Notamacropus eugenii: one gene and its partner. The protein of the gene in region 1 purifies or fractionates together with the protein of each later gene. This does not show direct contact. Links are inferred from orthologs where the notes say so. Each region holds a gene or a part of one and is shown in the gene's direction. Other genes may lie near its edges.

Region 1 (7,748 bases):
ACAGACTCAATCAATGAATTTTAGAGTTAGAAGGGAATTCTGATGTCATCCAGTCCTGCCTCTATTTGAACAGGAATCTCTTCTAGTACTATATTATCCCTGACAACTCTTCATTTGACTTTCAGATAAAGACTCCCACTGATGAGGAATGCTGACTTCCCAAGACAGCCTATTCCAATTTTGTACAATTCTAATTACCAAGTTTTTCCCTATATCCAACTGAAATTAGCCTCTCTGTAATTTGCTTAGCCCTAGAGGGCAGTACTAAAAACAGTTGGTAGGAATTAAGGCAAAGCAGATAACTAGGATTGTTTTAAAGCAGAAAGGGCAGCCATTAGAAGTAGTAAGTTCTCCATTACTAAAAGTTTTCTGGCTGACCATTTATCAAGGATGCTGTAGAAGGTATTCAAGATGTAGATGCGAAATGGACTAGATGAGTTCCTCCCAATCATGATGTTCCCTGGTTTAACGTAACAGACAAATGAAGATCCATTAATAGATGGCTTTATTTATATATTCATTTATTAATCTAGCTGGAATTAAATTGAAGGTTTGAGCGAAGGAGTAACAGGTTGAGAGTAGAGCTTTTAGAAGTTTAATTAAGTAGCAGTATGGAGACTGGATTGCAGGTAGAGGTGGAGACCAGAGGTAGGAGGACCAATTAAGAAATTGTTGCAATCCACTATTCAACTAGGGTGGTGGCAATGGAAATGGAGAGGTATGAATAAATGTGAAAAACATTTGAATGGAAGAAGATAGTAACTGATTAGGCAGGAGAAAATAAGGACTTGGGTAGCCTTGGTAACAAAAGTGAAGGGTTGAAAGGGGAAGTAAGGATAGTAACTTAGAAATGGCTACTTCTTGTTTTTCTATCAACTTCATTTCTGAGTATCTCCTTGCACTCTCTTTAACATTATTGAGTCATCCTTTGTGACAAAGTTTTTAAACTGTTTCAGCAAAATCAACCAACATATCAACCGTATCTTATAGGAGAGTGCACTCACTTTCCGGTTTTTAGCTGCCACTAAAATGTGCTGCTATGACTATTTTGGAAATGCCATTCATACCAAAATTGTCATAATAGCACTTCTGTGGTAGCAAAAATGAACTATTCTTGACAGACAGGAAATAACTGGTTATTGATGTGGGGGCTCATGACAATCAGCTGTGTGCTACCAGACTATCAACTAATTAGATCAAAAGTGGAAATCCACATCAAATTTGAAGAAAAAATAAAGATAAGATGACTGAGAACAAATGCAACAGCTTTAACTAGACCTATTCAAATGAGTAGTTGATATCAAGCCAAAGTATTGACCTGAATCATCATCATTTCCTTGAAAAGTGTAACTGATATAAAGCAGTCACCACAAGGAGGAAAAAAGAACCTGGAAATCACCTTAGTCAGAAAACACTTGATCTTTCTGCAAGTAGAGATATAGCAACCAAAATATCACAGAACAGAATCACAGAAGATTATGATCACTATCACTTTACAAAATAGCAAAACATAAGGGTAGGAAAAATAAGTCTTTGGTTTTAGTATGAGCACTGACTGGGTTACATAGTATCAAGATAAATAGATAAAAGTCACAATAGATGGAAAATGGAATTAATTTGTTTGTATTTTTATAATAAACTCTTTTCATCACCCATGATTTAGACTCTATCATCTTAGTACTGGATGCACTTAGCATATGACTACACTGAAGACCATTCCAAGAACTGTAAGGGAACTTTGGTCATATGTGACTCAAGAATATAGGGCTTTGCTTTGAGATGATAAAATCTTGTAATTGACTGCAGAACCAGAAAAATGGATAACTTAATAGATGTATAAAAGGGAGAAGCTTCTTTCTTCTTTTCCTGCTTTGACTAGACAGTTTTGAGTTGCTTCCTGTATTGACCATAGTCATCATTTCTTATAGCAGAGTAATATTTTTTATATGCAAGTACCACAATTTGTTTATCCTAATTGATGGACATTTATTGTTTCCACTTCTTTTCTACTACAAAAAAAATGCTCTTATAAATGATTTTGTACATATGAGCCTTTTTGTCATTGAATGTCCGGTATGTGATTAACAGTGGAATCTCTGGGTTAAAGATTATGGGGTTTTTTTTGTTGTTGTTTTGTTTTTTGCTTATTTTCTTAGTATAATTCCAAATTGCTTTCCTGAACGATTGGATCAATTCACAGCTCCACCAACAATGCATTACTGTGCCTATCTTTCCACAATTCCTCTAAAACTGAGTGAACTATCTTTTATCACCTTTGCCAATTTGCAGGATTTAAAATCCACCTCTTTCACAGAATGTTCTCCCAGTGATGCTGTATGGTATAAATTCTGGAAAAATACAATCTCTGAAGAATCAGAATAGGTATCCCAAAGTTCAACGGAGAAAAAAATAGTAGGTACAAGTAGGCTGCTGTGTATTTCCAGAATGATTTATTTACAAAACATAGCATGAAGAATCAGACGTAGACAAGTGGGGTAGTTTTGTTACTATTATGTTAAATATATATTAAAAGCCACAAAATATAAATAAGTTCAAAGTTTCATATACATATATTTTCTGTGTATTTCACAAATATTTGTATGTATATTTCATATACATATTCACATATTTTCTGTTCTTTGTATAAATTCACAATTAAAAAATTTAGAAACCATAAAAAAGGATACTTCTCATATATGCAATAGGGAACTAATTTCATTGATGTGGACATTCCCTTTAGTGGTATAGGTTACAACTCATCCATTCCTTCTTATTCTCTTCAACTCTTGCTCCTGAGCCCCTATAAATTCCTTGCAAGAACACATTCAAAATACTGGGGGTCTTCCTTTACATTATATAGATAACAGAGCAACACGGGAACTGTTCCATTTCTTATTCCTTCCTCTTGCTACATGACCAGCAGTGTGGTATGCCAGAAAGAGCAAAAAATTTGGAGTCAAAAGGATCTAGGCTCCTGACTCTGACTGTTATTTACTATTCATGTGACCTTGGGCAAGTTATTGCATCACTCTAGGCCTTGGTTTTCTCCCTGTAAAATGAAAGCACTGGACTTCATAACCTTTAAGGTACTTTCCAACTCTGTTCTTGACTTACAAATACCTTTTCAGACATACATTTAATACCTTTTGTATAATTCATTACAAGTGATATCCTGATACGTTCAGGTACTTTATGTATAAATAATAGAAGAAATGTGCAATTGAAAAGGATGTGGGCAGGTCACGTCATTGGAACAAGAGACATAATGGACAGCGTTGGGGCACCAATGAAATGTAAAAAAAAAGAAAAAAAACTTTGGAAAAAGCCTCTAGAATATTGAGTTGATTCTCCATGGACAAGAATGATATATGATAAAATATGGACTGATTTTGATCTGTACTGATGGAAGGAATTACAGATCCATGAAAACACTAAGCTATATAGCATCTTCTGTGTGTCATTGAAAGCTCAGAATCTTGTCTTCAGTTACATACAAAGGGGACAAATTTGTAACCTCATCTAGGTTGCAAAAATCAATGGTTCTTCCTTCGCCACTGTATGATGGAGGAATGGAAGCAGTCAAAGATCCTAACCTTTCAAGCCTGGTAAATTAGATCGTATCAGACAAGAGATTTAAACCCAACACCTCTGACTCTAGAGACAACTTTACCCACCTCCCTCCCACAATGAACACTGCTTTCCAATTGATTACCCCTGGGGCTTCTTAGTTTATCAAAATGGGTCTGGATTATTTCAGACATCCCTCAAGTTATAATTTGCTGGGTTCTCAAGCCCCTTCCAACCTTAAACCTTATGAGTCTGTGACTGTCTCCCAGAGACCCCAAGTCTGTCACTGTCACACAAAGAAGCAACACATCCTTCCAGACAGTCCTGTGGCTTTAAAAATACCAGGCACACTCCCAGTCTTCCTAGAGATCGTGGGAGATTCTCCAGGCATGACTTCTTCTCCCACTCCCATGCGGTTCTGTAAGATCTTCCTCCTGGGGAATCGATCCCGGAGTGAGGGGTCCAGAGTCGTGGCCCGCCTCCAGCGTGCCTCCGGACTCCCGGGCTGGGAGCGGGGGCATTTCCCTGCGGGCTGCGGCGGTGACAAGCTCGTGGTCACCGAGAGCCACGGGCAGCGGGCTCGGGGAAGCCCCGGTAATGCCGCCCCGGCGGGGGGTCGGCCGAGCGGAAGGCAGGGAAGGCGCGAGGAGACCGGAGCCTGGCCGCGTCTGACTACGGCTGTCAGGGCAAGAGGCTGGCCGAGAACGCCAGAAGCTGAGAACTCCCCACGCGTGTCTACTTCCCTAACTTTACGGTCTGAGTTCCCGGACGGCAGGGCCCGTTTCTTCTATTTCCTTCGTGCGCCCTCCACGAATGAAAACCGCCAACACCGGCACCCGGCAGGCCCCGAATGGAGGTTCTAACTCGCGCTGCCTAGTCCGGGAGAAGTGCCGGACCCGGTGCGCAGGCGGCCCGGGTTCAAATCCTTCCCAATCCAGGGTCTCCCCTCTCAGGAGCCGGGTCGGCCCCTCGGACACTCCGGGCTTGCCGGGGCGAGCCAGCCTCCCTCTTTCCTTCCGCGGACGTGCCCCTCACTCAGCCCGGCCTCCGCCAGCCGGGAGGGGCGTGGTCACTCGGGGCCAAAACAAGTTCCCGGAGGTGCCGCGGCGGGCGCGAGGACAGGTGGGGGGCGGGGCCGCGCGCGGGGGCGGGGCCGGAAGCTTTAAAGAGGCCGCGGGCCGTGACCCCAGAGCCAGAGTCACCGGGAGGCTGCGGTAGGGGCGGCGGCGCCGACATCGCCAGCCACAGCGTCGGCATCATGTCCCTGTCGGCTGGCGGCCGGGGCCTGGGGGCCGCGTGGTCCCCGACGCACGTGCAGGTGACGGTGCTCCAGGCCCGGGGGCTGCGGGCCAAGGGCCCCGGCGGCACGAGCGACGCGTACGCGCTGATCCAGGTGGGCAAGGAGAAGTACGCGACCTCGGTGTCGGAGCGCAGCCTGGGCGCGCCGGTGTGGCGGGAGGAGGCCACCTTCGAGCTGCCGCCGCTGGGGCTGCCCGCCGGGCCCGGCAACGCCGCCACCTTGCAGCTCACCGTGCTGCACCGCGCCCTGCTCGGCCTCGACAAGTTCCTCGGCCGGGCCGAAGTGGACCTCCGCGAGCTGCACCGCGACCAGGGCCGACGGAAAACCCAGTGCGTGCGCGCCGCGCGTCCGGGGGAGGGGCTGCTGCAGGGGGAGGGGCTGGGGGCCGGGAGGCGGGGGAGGGACTGTTGGGGGTGGGGAGGGTCCGCCGAGAAGGCGGGGGCGCCGGGGGAGATGGATGGAGAGGTCATTTAGGGTTGGGAAGGGGGAGGGAAAAGGTGTGGCTGGGGGGGGAGGGAAGGGGCCCCTGAGGGGGAAGGGAAGACATGAAAGTTGGAGGAGGGTTTGGGGAGAATGCGAATTATGGGGGCAGGGGGTAAAGAAATTTTGAAAGGAGAATGAGGTTGGTTTATAGATGGTTATTTCTATCCTTTGGGGTGTTTCTGCAAAAAAGGGGGAAAATCATTTGCGAAAATTGCTGTAGAACAAACTGTATTTTTATTCTTTGTGAAAAAGAGAAACAGAATTGCCTGTTATGACTCGATGGCCAAGTAACATTATAATAACATATTCTATAAATGGTATGGAGGTGACATTTACGCATCATGTTCTCTTCCCTCCATCCCAGCGACAGAATGAGTTGTTGGAGTTCTTATTTATAAAGGGTATCACGTATAGGCTATATCAGTGATTGATTAGTAATTGTGTTGTGGCTTCTGGGTATATGATGCTGAAACTAGGAACTTTGAACTAAGGATGGGCAGAAGTGAATCAGAACTTGTCTTTCCATGGATGAGATAAGGGAACTTGAATCCAGAAACTAGAAATGACTAAAAGGTTAAAGAGCACACATGTCTAGGCAATGCCCTAGATAGGCTGAGTGGGTGGAAAACTGAAGGCAAAGGAAATGGATCTGAAGTAAAAAATACCTGTTGTGGCTAGCAGGATACAGGATAATAAGGGGAGAAAAAAGAACAAATAGATTTAGAAGAAAAATTAGAAATGGTGTGGTGCCTATTAAAGAGACCTTAGCTTCTAGTTATCTTAGATGCAATGTTTTTGGAGAAAAGGCCAGCCATCCCCAAAATTCTCAAATAGGTGATTGTTTGCTTTTGACACTTATCTCTCTCTGGGCTTTTTCTTACTCCCATATCAGAAGTCTAGTAGTGTACTGATATGGGCAGATCTCATCTCCTAGGAAAAAGGTGAAAAATTAGTCAGCATTAAGGTGTGAGGGACAGAATTGGTCACTATTTGGGCTGAATTCATAGTAGGATCAAGCTAGTTGGGGAAGGTATTTTGAAGGAAAGGACAGGATCCTCTGGGTGTTATATAAATGTCATCTAAAGCAGAGGTCAAATAGGCAGCTAGATCTAGTTGCTAGGGTATGGCCAGGACCCGATTAAAATGTAACTGGGAAATATTCACCAAGATAAATACTAATACAGTAAAACAGATATTACATTTTAAGTCAATATGTGACCCACAAGGAAAGAATCCTTGTTATTTATTTATATTTAGGTATTGTTTAGTGGCCTCTGTTTCTATTTGTATTTCATACCACCCATCTTAAGAAGGAATCAAGAGAGCATAGCCTGAATCCCAGGACTTTAGTTCAAATATTGCTTACTATGTGTATGACTTTGGGCAAGTCGTTTTTGTTGTCGTTTTCAGTCCTGACTCTCTGTGCCGTCAATTGGATTTTTTTTCACAAAGATACTGGAGTGATTTGCTTTTTTTTCCCCCTAGCTCATTTTACAATGAGGAAACTGAAGCAAGCAGGGTTAAGTGATTTGTCCAGGATCAGGAAGCTAGTGTCTGAGGCTGGATTTGAACTCAGGAAGATGAGTCTTCTTGACTCCAGCATTTCCTCATTTGTGAAATGAGAGGGTTGGATTAGGTAGCTACCAAGGGCCCTCCCACCTTTAAGTGTTATCATTCAGTTGGATCCTCTAAAGGTCCAGCCTTAGCAAAGAAAGGTGTCAGCTAAAAGGATTAATTCTAAGTTGGGTCTCAAATGATCTTGCATTTCTGATGGGCACAGTATGTAATAGCACTACCCCGGCTGTGTCTGTTCACCCATACTAACAAATTGTACAGACATTACTGAACCCAAGTAAGCCAACGAGTATAGAAGGCTTCTTATAACTAAGCACCACTGATCCTGGCTGCCAGGTCCCTGTGGCAGCTGGTATTTTCAATTCAGCCTTACTTGAAACTACAGAGGGTTGCTTTGTTCTTTGAATTCCTATATACCTGTTTTAGTGTTCTGATAAGAAGTTTTCTCAAATACATAACCTCACCCGGCAGAAAATGCCACAGGTTATGGGCAGCTATGGCGCTACTCTTTCAGACATTCCAGGGGTGGGAATGGACTGCTGGCCAGAAGCACCTGTGCAGTCCGTTTACTTAAGAAATATCCTGGCCAAGTGGATGAAGATCCTTATTTCAGACTTTCCAGAGGCTCATTTAGGGACTGATGCTACTTCCCTCTTGTTTCTCCTTTTTTTAAGTTCTTTGAAAGATAAAAAAATTAAAGAAGAAAAAGGCTTTTTTAGCCTTTTCTAATGTGAAGATTTTTGAAGGAGTGTCTTGCGGGATCAGCTTTTATAAGGTAGATGATGAGCTCTGTCTTTCATTAAAGAAGAGGTGGGGAAATAGT
Region 2 (8,263 bases), on another chromosome or scaffold:
TGAACTGTGCCAAGAACCTGTCTGGTAAGTGGGAAGTCTCCAAACTAACACTAATTTTTATCTCAATTCTCTCCCTTACTCCAACCCTGTTTTCCAAACCCAGACTCAAATAACTTTATAATAATACATTCCTGGCTCTCAACTGAAGTGCTTAAGGCAGAATTTTATGCATAATGGGCACTCAGTCAGTGTCTGAATTTGTTGTCCCATCCACAAATCCCCAACTCTTATCCATACCCAAAATATAGCCCATATCTGAGCTTCAAACCTTATCCTGAATTGCAATCTCAATTCTAATTGCAACTTCTCGGTCAAAATCCCACATCCAGCTCTATGACCATTTCTCCCTCCCTGAGAGCCATGGAACCATACTCACTCCCCAGCTATAAACAAATCCCTCGCCCTGTATAGCTTCAAACCCATCCCTAATCTCCCATCTATAATCAAATTCTAGTTTCAACCTCAAATTCCACACCCGTATGTGTTAGTATGTGTGTATAAGAGTGTTGTTTATTCACTTCAGTTGTGTCTGACCCTTCTTGACCCTATTTGAGATTATCTTGGCAGAGATACTGAGTGGTTCTCCATTTCCTTCTCCATCTCATTTTATAGATGGGGAAACTGAGGCAAACAGGGTTAAGTGACTTGCTCAGGGTCACATAGCTAGGAAGTGTCTGAGGCCAGATTTGATCTCCTGATTACAGACCCAGCACTCTATCCACTCATCACCTGCAATTACATTCTGGGCTACATCAACTGATTTGGTGGGCAAGGGAGATGCAGAAATAGAATTCCATCCCCTTCCTATCCTGTTCATACATATGATAACTACATAATAATAATGGTTATTATAACTAGCAGTTCTGGAGCACTTTGAAGTTTGCAAAGTTTGCTTTACAAATAGCATCCCATTTCATTCTCACATAGCCCTGCATGATAGGTGCTATTATTTTGGTAGGTGCTATTTTACTCCCAATTTTCTAAGTGAGGAAACTGAGGCAGAGTTTGTGACTTGCCCTAAATCACACAGCTAGTAAGTGGCTGAGGCCAGATCTGAATGCAAGTCTTTCAATCCAAGTTCTGCATTCTGTGCACTGTAGTAATTTCATCAATAATGAAATCAACTCAACTTACATTTATAACTAAAAAGGACCTTCAACATACAGATAAGAAACTCTGCATCCCCTTTATCATAGAATCATGGATTTCGAATTAGAAGGGACTTCAAAGGTCATCTAGTCCAACCCCTCATTTTGTAGATGAGGAAACTAAGGCCAAGAGAAGTGACATGTCTTGCCCAAGATTGAACAGCTAATAAGTAGCAGAGCTGAGGGTTTGAGCCTCAGCCCTCAGACTCTAGATCCAGGGTCATTTCCACTGTGCCACAGAGCTTGATCACTGATTATTGGAGCTGGAAAAGAGTTTGGTGGTCAACGCAGGATGGACAATGGAAAGAGCACTGGATTTGAATTCAGAGGACCCAGAGTTCAGATCTTGGCTCTGCCTCTAACTTTCTGTGCAACTTTGGGAAAACCAGATAACCTCTCTGCACCCTCATTCCCTCATCTTTAAAATGAGAGGGTTTAAACTACGTGACCTCTACCTTTCTATCTCTAAATCTATCATCTGTTCTAACCCCCACCATTTTACAAATGAGGAAACAGGTTTAGAGAGGTTAAGGGACTTTTCCATGATCATACAAGTAATAAGGAGCAGAACCTGGATTTGAATGTAGCACTAGATCTGGAGTTTTCTACTATTCCACACTGCTCATTTTCAGATGAGGAAATTAAGAACCAGAGAGAGAGGCCCAAGGTCACACAGAGAGCAAGAACTAGAACCCAAGGCTCCTGACTTCCAGTCTAGTACTTTTTGAGTATTTTTTTTCATTCTACCTCCTTGAGTTCTAACTCCAATCCCACAGCCCTTTACCTAGACCTCTGAAGCAGACCTGTGCCTTTGTAACTGCACTTTCTCCACACAATTCCTGACCCTGCTTTCCTTTTTCCCTTTTTTTTCAGGGGGCTGGTGGTTCAGTACTTGTGGCCATTCCAATCTCAATGGAAAGTATTTTCACTCCCTTCCCCGGCAGCGGCACCAGAGGAAGCAGGGCATCTTCTGGAAGACTTGGCGGGGACGCTACTACCCTCTACAGGCCACCACCATGCTAATTCAGCCCACAGAGGGTGCCAGCTCTTAGCCTTGTTCTGAGAGCCTTGCAGGGCTAAAGAAAAGAGCCAGAGTTCAATGGGTCAAAGACTCAACATAAATGCAAAAAGAGAACTTTCTCACCCTCTCTTTTCCCAGCACCCATGGTGACAATAGTCTCCCTGGACATATGCTTGGGCCAGGGTCAGGACTGAAAAAGGTACTTCACCGAGAGAGGAATAAGAGAGGATCCAGGCCCAGCCTTGGAATCTAGCCCTTCCATCTTGAAGAGACAGTGTTTACTCATTTCTTGCCCTTCTTTAATCTGTTGCCCTCTTAAGGGTAAACCTATGGTACCAACATACTAATAGGCAAGGGCTTTCCCTCTCCCCATCCACCCTGTTACACAGAAGAGTTTTATAAGCACAAGTGAATGGGAGGGGCTGGGTTGCCTAACCCTGGGGACTAGAGGGGAAGAAGCCCAGCTTCTGGGCTCATGACTGACTAGGAGTCTTGCCTAGCTGTCTTCAGTCATATTGACTGGACTAGGATCACAGGACCAAGAACTGGGGGATCTAGAATGGTGACCTACCTCAGAGCATCGCTATTTTGAAGCCCTGCCCTGGGGTCTTATGAGGGGTCAGGGTAATTTGTAAATAATTGCCTTGTAAAAAAATTCACTATCTTTTGGGTTTTAGAGTCTGGCTGGGATTACCAGGCCTCCTCAGATTTGTTTGTAATAAAAGGAATGAAAGAATCTCAAGATTGGAAGGGTCATCAATTCATCCAGTCCAAACAGGAATCACTAATGTGATCTCCAGAAGCATTCACTTGCAGATGTTTAGGGATGAAGAATTCACCACTTCATCCCTAAAAGGCCTGTTTTTGCACAGCTCTGCTAGTGAGGAGGTTCTTTACATCAAGGTGAAATTTGCCTCCTATGGAAGGCCATGCAGAACACTGTTTTCTACATCATGGTGTTTCAAGTTATGTCTTTCCTCTTTACACAACCCCACCCACCCAAATGTTCTCCAGTCAAAATATCCCCAGATCCTTCAACCAGTCCTCGTATAGCTTGACTTGGAGGCCATTTGTCTCACTGTATTCTTTGAATGCATTTAAGTTTTTAAGAAATCAATCAACCGGCCTTGATTAATATGTTCTTGGCACTGTGCTTTATGTGTGAATATTCACTATATTATGCAAGTCAACAACTGAAAGAGAAACAGGGAAGGAAAAGATAACCCATGTTAACCAGGATTAAGTGAGCTATAGTCCCCTCAGTCTCAGAAAACATCATAAGGGAAGGTCAGCCTGTTCTCCCTGCACCCATTCCTCCTTACTACCATCTTACATATTTGTCTGGAGACCCTGCTGTTAACCACTTCAGACTCACTGTTTTAAAGAATGTAGGTCTTGCTTCCTTTTTAACCTCCTTCATGGTGTACTAATCTACCTAAAGACTTGGGACCTAGGCTCTCACCCAAACAGACGGTATAGGCAGTGACTAGGCTTACCTGGGAGGCTACTGCTTATCTGATTCCTCTTTTTGTGGTTTTCGAGAGGTAGGAGACAATAAAATTTTAGGCAAGCTTTTTGAAAGATGCTTTGCAAATATCTCATTTTTGTTCTTGTGAGAACCCTGGAAGGTAGGGACTATTATCTCTAGTTTATAAAAGAAAACTGAGGCAGGCAGACTAAATGACTTGCCCAGAAACACACAACTCATCGGTGTCAGGCTATATTAGAACTCAGGTCTTCCATACTCCAGGTCTAGCTCTCTATGCACTGAACAACCTGTCTGCCCATGCCAGGTTTGAGTGGAGCCTGTCTGTATTAATGGCAAATGGTGACCAGGCAGTTCTCTGCAGTAGCAGCATGATTGTTTTAGGTTTCATTTTTTTTTTTTTTAATAATAACAGGGTCAGAGACTTAATGAAGTTGGACAGGACCTTTGCAGTCCAAACCCTCATTTTACAGATGAAGAAACTGAGGCCCAGAGAGGAAGAGGACAAGTGGCTTGCTGGAGGGTACACAGATAATATATGACTGAGGCAGGTCGTCTGACTTCAATTCTACTCCTTTCATCACTGCCACGCTTCCTCTGTCATCTAATTTGTATTATGGTTGTACCATGTGTGGACTTGATCTCTATCTCACTGAGACACCTCTCTGCCCCACCAGATTCTTAACCAGGTTATGCCTGCTACTGAGGGCAACCTAATATACTTGGCAGATATGTCTCTTGAGATCAAGGGGGCATGACTGGGCAAGACAGTGGCTAGGGGCTGGATGACCAGTGGGTCTGAGATGGGGTCAGATTGGGGTGGACAGGCAATTAGGTGAGGTGGCAGTGAGCAGTGGGGTGCTGGTGAATGTGAGAGGTGGTAGTCAGTGGGGGAGTGACCAGGCAAGGATAGATGATGGTCAGCTTCGGAGTGCTGGGTGATTTGTAGGTAGGGTGTCTGGGGTGATGAGTGGGCTTCTGGGATGGTGCGATGGGGTGGGGTGACCCTTGGGTCTCCGGGGTGACGTTCAGCAGCGGGGTGACCTTCGGCAGTGAAGTGATGCGGTGGTCTAGGAGGGGGTCATCGGGGGGCTAGTGAGACTCGGGGGTGGCGGGCAGTAGGAGGGTCTCCGAGGGGGTGCTGAGCAGTGGAGGGATGGGTGGTCAGCGGCACGGTAGCCACAGAGCCTCGGAGGTGGTGGTCTGCAACTGGGGCACCCGTCAGTTCAGTCCTTTTTGTTTCCCTGAATTAATGACGCCAAAGTACTCTAGAGGAAGGAGCTGTGCCGCGCGCGTGACGTCACGGCAACGTTACTCCCTTTTCAGTCCTCAGGCCTAATAGGTCATTTCCTTTTTCAGGCTCCGCCCCTTCCAATCCCAGCCCTTCCCCGTGGCCTACGCCCCTTTCCTCCCGTAAACTTTTCTCTCTCTGCCTTTCATTGGCTTAGCGGAACATCAATTTCCTTCTGTTTCTCGACTCTGCCTCCCGTCTCTTGTGTCCGTCTCCTATAGGTTAATATCACTGTCACTTCAGGAAGCCCCTCCCCTCCCCTTCCGTCGGTTTCAGGCCCGCGGTAGGTGGAAGCAGTGGGTTGGTCCCACACTGGTCGCTAGTTCTGATAGGGTAACCACGGTGTCAGTCGCGCCCCCGCCCCGCGGCCGATAGGCCGGTGGAACTGTCGTTCGGCGGCCGGTCGGGCTCCGCCCCCCAGTCGGGTGTTTGTGGTGGGGCTGCGGAGACGGGCCCGATCCCGCCGGAAGAGCCGAGACAATGGGGACCCGGGACGACGAGTACGACTACCTGTTCAAAGGTGCCCGGCGCTGAGGCGGGGAGGGCTGAGTGAGAGAGCGGACCCTTCGGGGAGTGCGGCCCCCTCCCTGCTGGCGGCCTCAGTCCCGGCGTCGCGCTCCGCCGGGCTGGAAAGGGACCTCCGCGGGCCCTAGCGGGGGCGTCGGAACCGGAGCCGAGGCCTGGACCGGGGGCGAGGACGAAGGGGAGCTGACACGGGGTGTCGGGCCCGGAGAGGGTGTCGGGCCCGGAGGGGGCGGCTGCACAGAGCCGTCGGTGTTACTGAACAAGGGGGTTGCGGGGCCCTGGCTAGAAGGTGGGGGAGGGGTAGGTTGCACTTAGTGGGGAGGGGGTTGGTGACTGCTGAAAGGGGGAGGGGGGCCGGGCGCGGTAGGTACTGACAGCTGGCTGGGAACCGTAGTGATGGTCCTGGAACTCGGGAGGGAGCCCGGGAAGAAAGGGGGCGGGGACCTAGGAGCAGAAAATAGTGTGGGTCGGGGTCGCCCGGGTTGGAGGGATCCTAGGACTCGAGGAGGAGGAAGAAGGAAAGAAGACCAGGGGGTAGAGAAAAGCTGCGCGAGATGTTCAGGAAGGCGACTCTGGGGAGCTGGCTGGGAAGACACCCCGGAGACTAGGCAGGGGCTCGAGCCGGGCACCTCTCGTTGACTTGACTCCAGCCTGGCTGCCGAGGCCAGTTAAGCCCCTGCGAGGTGAAAGACACTGTGCTAAGCGCTGGGGAGACCGAGGAGGAAAAACAAATGGGTTGGGGTCACTGGACAAGATTCTTAAGACCGCCGAAAGGAGAAAGGGAGTCGGGAGGAGATACTGGGGAGCAGGACCAGGAGGGAAGGCAATAGAGGATATCTTGGAAGGAAAATGGGGGGAGGGGGAGAAAAATTAGAGAATGGAGAGAGACAGGGAGCTTGCAGAGAGGAAGGGAGGGAGATGGGGAAAGTGTAGTAGAGATTTGAATGGAGTATGGAGAGAAAAGAGGAGTGAAGATTGAGGCCAGGCAGGTTGAATGCAGGAGGAACTCATTTAAGAGGAGTGATTGTGTCAGATATGGGAAAGGCAGAGAGAACTAAGGTTCACAGGATGGAAAGAGAGCATTAGGACTGAGGATAAAAGATATGTGGAGTGATTTATGTAGGGGGAGCTTGTAATGGGACTTAGCCGGTGTTGCTATACAGGACTTTACTCCTGGAGAGGGATGTCTGAGCAGCCTTGTACTCTAGATAAAAGACAAACTTCTCTGAGGCAAAAGAATCCAGGGCATTAGAGTGGGGGATCCCTAGATTAACTGGGATCCTTCCCTCACTACCTTTACTTCTCAGACATACTCAGAACTCCTTGACCTGGAGATGAGGTGCTGATTCTGACTGATCTGACTGATCAGGAATTGGGCAAGCTTTCTTTTCTGAAGCCAGAGGGCTAGGCATTAGACCTTCTAAAATTCTTACCATTGAGTAGCCAACAGGCTAGCCTGGAAGTGCCCAAGGGTTCCAGCAAAGAGGTACTAGGTAGACATGAAAAATGTCTATTTTTCTTATCCCTGGGTCTGGTACCTTGGACTGTTGGCTCTTCAAAATACTTGTTCCTTGGTTTTTCTTTCATCTGAGACTCTTTAAGTTAAATCAAGGATGTGATCTCTTTTTCTTCTTGTGCCTAGGACTGGCTGACCGCTATATTAGTGTATTCCAAGTCCTTGTTCACTGTGCTCTGTCTGAACTACAAATCCTCCTGGCCTCTGCTCCTCTGCTTTAGTTATATCTCCTCTGCTGTCCACCTCATCATCACTCTATTTTTCCAACACACTCTTATTACTAAAACTCCTAGAGACCCCAAATGGAAAGGGCTCATTTTTCACAGCTGACCTAAGAAGCACTGCTCAGGAAATCCTTCTGTCTCATAGTACTGAAATGTCAGTTACTTAAATATTTATTTTCTAAAGACATTTATTTATAAGAATCTCTTAATCTATACATGCCTGAGTTCAAATATAACATTTTAGAAAAGAAATTAATCTTGAGTCCCCCCAAATTTTCTCAGTTACAATGATTTAAAAATAAGTTTGTAAAAAGAATTTGATCACACACTTTTAGACTCCTGTATAATAGTAAATGAGATCCTCAATATGTGTTTCCATGCATTTAGTATACAGGATGTCCAAAAGTATTAGGCTTTGCTAGTTTAAAATTGCACTAAGACTTTTGAAACACCCTGTATGTGAGCTGCTACAAAACAAGCCCTGCTCTGCTCAGCACTGATTTCAGGTACCTGGTGTTTATTTGAGCCCGTGCCCAAAGATTGCTGTCTCCTGAGTTATAGGGTTTACACTTCCACTGCCTTCAGCCTTCCTTCTGTGTGTCCTTTGGCTTTCATGGATCCCAGTTATTCAAGTCTTCTGCCCTCTTCCACCCAAAAGGAGTATGTTCATTATGTCACGAACAGTTGTCAGAGATGAAAAGTAATGTAGTATACCTTTTAGTCAACAAAGTAGCCTAACAAGCATATTTTAAGCACTTACTATGTTCCTGGCTCTAAAGGATACAAAGAAAGGCTAAAGCAGCTCCTGCCGTTGAGGGTATTTTAATGTGGGAGACAACATGTGTATAACAGAGGCATGTTCAATATATCTGCATGGTAGATGGTAGGTAATGTGAGATGGGAAGACAGCTAAGGGAACCAGGAAAGGTCTGCAGAAGGTGGCAGGGTTTGAGCCGAATATTGGAGGAAGCCCTGGAAACTAAGAGGCCGAAGGGGGAGAACAGAGCATTACAGGCATGGCTGCTAGCCAGTAGAAAAGGACAGGGAGTCAT

Evidence for each region.
Region 2: the proteins of RAB11FIP1 (region 1) and RAB11B purify together in Homo sapiens (affinity purification with mass spectrometry; 3 studies listed by BioGRID and IntAct, counting the BioPlex papers as one, with this or other methods). This does not show direct contact. The link is inferred for Notamacropus eugenii from reciprocal best matches to the Homo sapiens genes RAB11FIP1 and RAB11B.

Annotation. Positions count from the first base shown.
Region 1 is NC_092872.1:623,088,922-623,096,669, forward strand, and holds the start of RAB11FIP1 (rab11 family-interacting protein 1), read left to right. Parts: upstream 1-4,551; 5' UTR 4,552-4,825; coding exon 4,826-5,196; intron 5,197-7,748. UniProt on the Homo sapiens protein: A Rab11 effector protein involved in the endosomal recycling process. Also involved in controlling membrane trafficking along the phagocytic pathway and in phagocytosis. Interaction with RAB14 may function in the process of neurite formation.
Region 2 is NC_092875.1:52,176,508-52,184,770, reverse strand, and holds the start of RAB11B (ras-related protein Rab-11B), read left to right. Parts: upstream 1-5,260; 5' UTR 5,261-5,426; coding exon 5,427-5,466; intron 5,467-8,263. Other genes in the region: ANGPTL4 (angiopoietin-related protein 4), read left to right, coding at 1-24, 2,022-2,200. UniProt on the Homo sapiens protein: The small GTPases Rab are key regulators of intracellular membrane trafficking, from the formation of transport vesicles to their fusion with membranes.